2 linked regions of the Macaca mulatta genome follow. The protein of the gene in region 2 binds, or shares a complex with, the protein of the main gene of each other region. Links are inferred from orthologs where the notes say so. Each region holds a gene or a part of one and is shown on either strand. Other genes may lie near its edges. The genes, in order: POLE and POLE4.

Region 1 (3,812 bases), on a different chromosome or scaffold from region 2:
CAGGCTGGAGTGCAGTGGTGCAGTCATAGCTCACCATGGCCTCAAACTCCTGGGCTCAAGCAATCCTTTCACCTCAGCCTCCTGAGTAACTGGGATCACAGGTGTGTACCCCATGACTGGCTAATTATTATTATTATTTTTTTTTTTTTGTAGAGATGAGTCTCCCTATGTTGCCCAGGCCTGTCTTGAACTCCTGGGCCTAAGTGTACCTGCTGCCTCCCAGAGTGCTGGGATTAGGGGCATAAGCCACCATGCTTGGCCCTCTTTTTTTTTTTTTTAGTTGGGGTGTAACTCACATCACATAAAATGCATACATCTTACCCTGAATTTTTTTCCTGTCTGTAGGATTATCATCCAAGCAATTCTTTATTTTTTTGAGACGGAGTCTAGCTCTGTTGCCCAGGCTGGAGTGCAATGGCGCAATCTCGGCTCACTGCAACCTTCACCTCCCAGGTTCAAGTGATTCTCCTACCTCAGCCTCCGAAGTATCTGGGATTACAGGCGTGCACCACCACGCCTGGCTAATTTTTGTATTTTTAGTAGAGACGGGGTTTCACCGTGTTGACCACGCTGGTCTCAAACTCCTGACCTCGGGTGATCCGCCCTCCTTGGCCTCCCAAAGTGCTGGGATTATAGGCGTGAGCTGCCATGCCCGGCCCAATCCAAGCCATTCTTAAAGGAAGGACTGCCCTGGTCATTGAAACCACCTCAATTTACCTTTTGTGTTTCCTCAGTTTGGACTCTGGTCTCATCTCTTGCTACTGATTTGGAACTCTGGTCCCACCTCCTCCAGACCCTGGCAGCTGAGTTAGTTGCTCTCTTGTTAATTCCTAGTGTTCTGCAGAGGGGTGGTGTCATTACTGATGAAGAGGAAACCTCTAAGAAGATAGCTGATCAGCTGGACAACATTGTGGACATGCGCGAGTACGATGTTCCCTACCACATCCGCCTCTCCATTGACCTGAAGATCCATGTGGTGAGTAGGGCAGGGTTGGGTTGCTGCTCACATGAATTTCCTAACAGCCAGGAGATGATCATTATGGGTGAATCCACACAGGAGTAGACTTTCCCGGATGTAGAACTCCAGTTAACACACTGTGTGTTTTGCAGGCTCATTGGTACAATGTCAGATACCGTGGAAACGCTTTTCCTGTGGAAATCACCCGCCGAGATGACCTTGTTGAACGACCTGTAAGTTTTGTTGCTTGTATTACCTTCATCATAAAATTTCTGGTTTTCTGGAGAGAATATTCTTTAGTGCTGAAGAGTAAATTTGACTCAAAGATATGTTTCCTGCTTTCCCCCCAAATACTTTATTAAAGGAAATATGGAGTTAGTTTTTCATCAGTTTCTGACAGTATCATGTCCTTTCTTGTTGTATATCACTGCATGACATCAGTATTTGAGCTAGGCAGGATTTGGACATTTGAGGGAAAGCTAGGACTTCCATTGGGTAGTTGATAGTGAAGAGACGTGGTGAAAAATGGATTTGTAACTAGAAGGCCTGGGTTCAAATATGACTTTGTGGTGTTGGGAAAGTCTTTGTATTCAGTTTTCTCTTTTCCGAAACGAAGATATCATCTCTGTGCCACATTTACCTTTCAGGGTTGTCATAACCATCAGAATGAGGTGATGTCTTCTGAAGAGTTTTTCTTTTTTTTTGTTTTTTTTCTTTTGTTTTTTGAGACGGAGTCTGGCTCTGTCGCCCAGGCTGGAGTGCAGTGGCGCGATCTCGGCTCACTGCAAGCTCCGCCTCCTGGGTTTACGCCATTCTCCTGCCTCAGCCTCCTGAGTAGCTGGGACTACAGGCGCCCGCCACCGCGCCCGGCTAATTTTTTGTATTTTTAGTAGAGACGGGGTTTCACCGTGGTCTCGATCTCCTGACCTTGTGATCCGCCCGCCTCGGCCTCCCAAAGTGCTGGGATTACAGGCGTGAGCCACCGCGCCCGGCCTTCTAAAGAGTTTTTCTACTAAAGTTCTGTGATTTTAGGCTTGTCCTGTGATCAGCTGCTCTCTTAGGTGTGTAAGTTTCCACACCATAGAGAGTCGTGATGCTCTTGACGTAGGTTGGTCAGTCTTAGGGTCCCTCTCCCAGCTCTGGAGCCTTTTCACTCTTAACAACCAGAGGGAGGTAGAGCAGGCCGGGGGCCGGTGTTCAGGGAGGCCTGATGGGGAGTTTAGAGCTTGGCTTTATGCTTATTTTGTCCCCACAGGACCCTGTGGTTTTGGCGTTTGACATTGAGACGACCAAACTGCCCCTCAAGTTTCCTGATGCTGAGACAGACCAGATTATGATGATTTCCTACATGATCGACGGCCAGGTGAGCAGGCGGCTTCTGGGAAGAAAGCTCCTGGGATGGGGACCTTGTCTGGTCCCCATACTACAGCAGCGTCTGCCCCACAGTTAGGATGTGTTGAGTGAATAATAAGTTAGTCCAGGAATGGGAGCAGCCAGGCCGTTCCGACTTCCAACTGTACCCTCTCCTTTCCAGTGGGAATCCAGACATGGAGGATCTCTTCTCAGGAAGCTTAGGGCACTTTCACGTTGCTGTGGACTTCTTTGTAGTGAGAATCTCTAGGCAGAGTGTGTGGGCAGGGTGGGGACACCAGGTCTTGGCTTTGCAGCCTCTGACTTGTGCTAATTGCTAATGAACTTCACTAGGGCTACCTCATCACCAACAGGGAGATTGTTTCAGAAGATATTGAAGATTTTGAGTTCACCCCCAAGCCAGAATATGAAGGGCCGTTTTGTGTCTTCAATGAACCCGATGAGGTAAGGAGGTATCACTTGTGAAACTGCCTGGTATTGTGGGAAGAAGGGGCATGCGGATCTTTCCAAGGCCTCGGCATTCCGTCGGATCAGAATTGCAGCTCCATCAGCTTCGTTCTTAGGGTATGACCCTCTTTTCTGCCAGAAACTGGGGCTGGGGTCAGGAATAAGGGCCAGCATGAGGCTGCTGCTTCTGAACTTTGGGGGAGGAATTTGGAAATAGCTTGAAGAAGAGAAAGAGCAGACCTCTGACTGCTGTGACTTGGGTTTAGGCTCATCTGATCCAAAGGTGGTTTGAACACGTCCAGGAGACCAAACCCACCATCATGGTCACCTACAACGGGGACTTTTTTGACTGGTGAGTCTGTGTCTTCTCTGTGAGTAACTGGGCAGCGTTTGAGAGGGAGGGCATTGCATGGTGCGGGGCGCTTCCCATGTTGACTGAGGAGGTGGCTTCTGGGTTCACTCTGCACCTCCCGTGTCTCGGTTACTCCCTGGATCTGAGGGAGGAATGGAGAAAGGGGAATTAGAGCCTGATCTTCCCACTTGCTTGTCTGTCCTCTTTCGAACCCAGGCCATTTGTGGAGGCCCGGGCAGCAGTCCACGGTCTGAGCATGCAGCAGGAGATAGGCTTCCAGAAGGACAGCCAGGGGGAGTACAAGGCACCCCAGTGCATCCACATGGACTGCCTAAGGTAGGGGCTGCACAGCAGCACGGCTCATCACTGCTGTCTGCGAGCGAGATCTGAAGGCCTCTTGCAGACTGTACTGTCACCACATCTCATGGGAGGAGGGTGGCCTCTGAGAGGTGTTTCAGGTCACCCAAGAGGATGGCAGCTACAACCCTGCCGGGGCCCGGGATGTGCTGTCTTTGACTGTTGGCTGACAGTTCGTCAGTGATCAGGCACATTGAGCATCAGCCTCTGGGGTGGGGTAGCCACCGGGAAGACACACTCAACGCACAGGTCCCAGAGCTAGGACCTCATGGAGCTGCACTGCCCAGGCCAGATTGGGATGTGGCAGCCCAGCTGCCTCACAGGACG
Region 2 (3,912 bases):
ACAGGAATTTTTCAGCTCCATTATAATCTGCTGGGACCACCCTCATGTGAGCAGTCCATGGCTGACCAAAATGTTACTATGCAGCACATGACTATATATGTGTAGTGAAGAGTAAGCTGATCAGATTTAAGAATTAAGTAGCGGCCTGGTGCGGTGGCTCACGCCTGTAATCCTAACACTTTGGGAGGCCGAGGCGGGCGGATCACAAGGTCAGGAGATCGAGACCATCCTGGCTAACACAGTGAAACCCCATCTCTACTAAAAATGCAAAAAAAAAAAATTAGCCGGGCGTGGCGGCAGGCGCCTGTAGTCCTAGCTACTTGGGGAGGCTGAGGCAGGAGAATGGCGTGAACCCGGGAGGCGGAGCTTGCAGTGAGCCGAGATCGCGCCACCACACTACAGCCTGGGCGACAGAGCGAGACCCCGTCTCAAAAAAGAAAAAAAAAAAATTAAGTAGCAGAAATAGCTCTGAGGCAAGGTAGCTAAAATTAGGTATTTCAAATATTTGCTTTTTTAATGAAAAAATTTAGTTAGTACACAAGTTAATCCATGACTCCTAAAAACACAGACAAGTCTTATTGCAGCAAAATAATCACTTCACACAGATTGTTGAAGAAAAAAGAACAAGCGGTCACCCTTTAAATGTTGACAATTGTTTCTGATCTCTAACATGATAAGAGGGGCAAGGCTGATATCTAGGTATGGCGAACAAGATAGGAATCAAACTTCTGAATTCATCTAACTACACTGGGATCTTTATATTCCCTCCTATTTCTTTATGGCTAGCAATTTTCAGGTAGAAGTTTTAATTCCCCAAGGGAGAAAACTGAACCTCATTTAGCAAGTTACTTTTTTCTAACAGCAAGTACGGAGAAAGAATTATCCCTACACAAACAAGAAGCAGGCATCCGTTTTATGAGGTTTTGAATTTCACATTAACATGCAAAAGACAGGTGGAAATGACTGCCCACTGAGAGAGAACTCACCTTCCAGAAAAGCAAATTCATCCACAGCTTCTATTGCATTATCTGAAACACAAGGCAAAGAGACACCTGACTAACTCCAGCCATGCTGACGTCAGTCAGAAAACAGCACAATCTACAGTGAAGGGCATGAGGCTTTGGGCAAATGAGGGCAATTATAAGATGCGTCCCTTGCTGCCTTGAGATCCGTATCTACTCTACCAGCAACTCTCATATATGTATTAGTTGTCTCCCTAGAAGAGTAAGAAAAGTGTAGGCAAATACCATTCAATGCGGGGGGGGGAGGGGGCTCCTAAAATACATCTAAATTATTTATTCGCTTTGCTCTTAAAGTTATCAGAGAAGAATGTGACAATAGACGCAGGGCGCATGAGAACACGGTATATGAAAGCTTACACAGGTGAGGGTTACCAACCAGACAAGAGTCAGAAATCAAATCCCCAGTTGCTAGGTGAAAAAGAATTATCTTTTTCTGGTGCAATTTGGCAGAAGGTATGAAGGGATCCAGTCCGCTTTGGCAACCCCAGACACCACACACTGCTCCACCACCCCAAGCAGAGAGCCTCTACAGGTAGGGCTTCCTGGCACTGTGGCCAACAGAAACCATCCTGGGGAGAGACGCTGTGGGACCTCTCAGATCAGAGTGACGTCTTCTCAACCTGCGCAAGGTAAAACCAGCCCAGCCCTCCCTTCTCTGTCCCCAGACACTGGCAGTGCCACTCTACCCAAGTCTCTCCTCTGAAGAGTTTTCCTTTTTCCCTGCTGAGCACAACAGTAGGCATCTTTTGCAATGGTCTCCACAAACAGTTCCTGTGAAGTAAAAAAGCAAAGTTTTAGTAATGGGTTCTAGCACACTGAGGAGGTGAGGGCTCTGGTTTGTGGGTGGGGGCAGAGAGGGAGAAGGCAGGCTCAGGGGCAAGAAAATGTTCTGGAAGCTAAGATTGTCCTGGACTTCATGAACATCCATTCCGCCACCCTCTTCCCAGGATTCTCCTTCATTCACTAAAGTCTCCTACAAGTTCTGTATGAGGCCCTGGAGATACAAATTAAAGTCACTCACTAACCAGGTCCTCAACAAGAGGGAGGAGTGTTAACAAAACACACAACTCGCATAGGTCCCCGGCCCCTTTCCTCCGCCTTCCGGGTCCACACCCACATCTCAAAACCCGGCCCACGCCACCCTAAGCCCCGCCCGCGGAAGGCCCCGAGGCTCCGCCCCGCGCTCCACCTCCCCCACCCCCGCGTGCCCTCGCGCTGCTGCCGCACCGCGGCTCGTGCCAGAATGAAGATGGCTTCCTGTCCGGCTAGCGTCACGTCGGGGTCCGCCTTCACCAAGGCCTTCACTCGCGCCAGAGGCAACCTCGAGAGACGAGCCCCAGGCACACTCGTTGGGGCTTGGGGCTGCAAGGCCGCTGCCTCCCCAGCAGGTCCCTCCTCCTCTCGGGGTGTCCCGCTTCCTGCCGCCGCCGCCGCTGCCATCCCGGCCCTGAGCGTGCTGCGCGCGGCCGCCGACTGTGCGCGCGCATGCGGCGCAGGCCCTTTCCCGCGCGGGCTGGAGGCCACACCCTGTGTAGGCGCGCGACTCCGCCCCTACGCGGCAGGGCGGTGCCGGAAACCGGGTGGGCTGGGACTGGGCTCCGGCTTTTCCCTCGCGCCTGGCCACCCTTGGGCTGTCGTGCCCTTGGTTGACGCTACTGGTGACCCTCTGGCCCGTTGGGCCTGTGGAGCCCAGGCACCTCCCCTTGGTGCCTGTGCCAGGCTGGTAAGGGGAGAAATCTAGACTGGGCTCGCAAGAGAGCCTCCGTCAAAACAATGTTAATACCCCAAGGCTAAGGAGGGCACGTGTCCGAGGGAGGCCCGGCCCTGGAGGTCCCAGCATCGTGGAAGAGGATGCCAGGGAGGCAGCGAAGTCTGGACCAAATTCAGTTATGGATGCTCTTGAAGGAGGAGTAGGGCTTTTGCAGGCAGATAAGAAGAAATTCAGCCCAGCCAGAGGAAACAAGAAAAAGTCATGGAGGCTGGAAAGGATGAAATTGTGGTTGTAAGGCATCCACGTTTGTTCAAAAACAGGTTGCATCACAGCTTTGGTTCTCAAATTTGACCTCAAGATACCTTTACGGTCTTAAAGATTACTAAAGAGCCCAAGTAGCTTTTGTTTCTGTCAGTTATATCAGTACTTACTGTATTAGAATTAAAGTTTTAAAATACTGATTTAAAATTACTAATGCATTACGAGCTAACAAACATTTTTATGACAAGAAACTTTTTTTAAAAAATGAATCTAGTAAGAAAAGTCTCTAATGTCTGATTTCATGTGAGAACTGGATTCTCTAGCTGCTTCTGTTGATAACGTTAGCACTTCTCAGGTAACTCTGAAAAACTACTGCATCTCCTTGAGAGAATGTGAATGAAAAATACAAATAACCTCTTAGTAGTATTAAGAAAATAATTTTGACCTCATGGACTCCTGAAAAGGGTCTCCAGAAAATTCCCACCCCCATGAATCCCCACACCACACTTTGAGGTCTGATAGCATAGAGGAACAGTTAATATTTACAATAGCTTTAATCTAAGTCAATCATAATAATAGTGAACCCCTTTGAGCATTTAGTATGTGCATGATTCAAAGTGTTTTACATTTATGTAAATCATAACTTCTGTCATTTTCACAATACCCTATATATTTTAACCTTATTTTACAAAATAAGCTTAACCTTATTATTGAAACCTTACTTGAAAACATTGAGGCGCAGAGTGGTTACTGAGTCACACACACACACGACAGAATGTGGTGAAGCCAAGATGAAGCTGAATTAATTGACATCTGAAATCACTCAATTCCAAAATTATGTAGTAAACTCTGACTGGTGTACGGGTGGAAAGGTGTGAAAACTTTCTTTACCCATTTTAAGGGTCACAGCTGACGCTC

The links.
Region 1: POLE4 (region 2) and POLE share a complex: the UniProt entries of both Homo sapiens proteins name them as parts of the DNA polymerase epsilon complex. The link is inferred for Macaca mulatta from reciprocal best matches to the Homo sapiens genes POLE4 and POLE.

Annotation. Positions count from the first base shown.
Region 1 is NC_133416.1:140,045,727-140,049,538, reverse strand, and holds part of POLE (DNA polymerase epsilon catalytic subunit A), read left to right. Parts: intron 1-834; coding exon 835-976; intron 977-1,110; coding exon 1,111-1,191; intron 1,192-2,213; coding exon 2,214-2,321; intron 2,322-2,662; coding exon 2,663-2,773; intron 2,774-3,042; coding exon 3,043-3,128; intron 3,129-3,344; coding exon 3,345-3,464; intron 3,465-3,812. UniProt on the Homo sapiens protein: Catalytic component of the DNA polymerase epsilon complex. Participates in chromosomal DNA replication.
Region 2 is NC_133418.1:49,825,590-49,829,501, forward strand, and holds the start of POLE4 (DNA polymerase epsilon subunit 4), read right to left. Parts: upstream 2,490-3,912; 5' UTR 2,463-2,489; coding exon 2,250-2,462; intron 1,794-2,249; coding exon 1,709-1,793; intron 1,029-1,708; coding exon 987-1,028; intron 1-986. UniProt on the Homo sapiens protein: Accessory component of the DNA polymerase epsilon complex. Participates in DNA repair and in chromosomal DNA replication.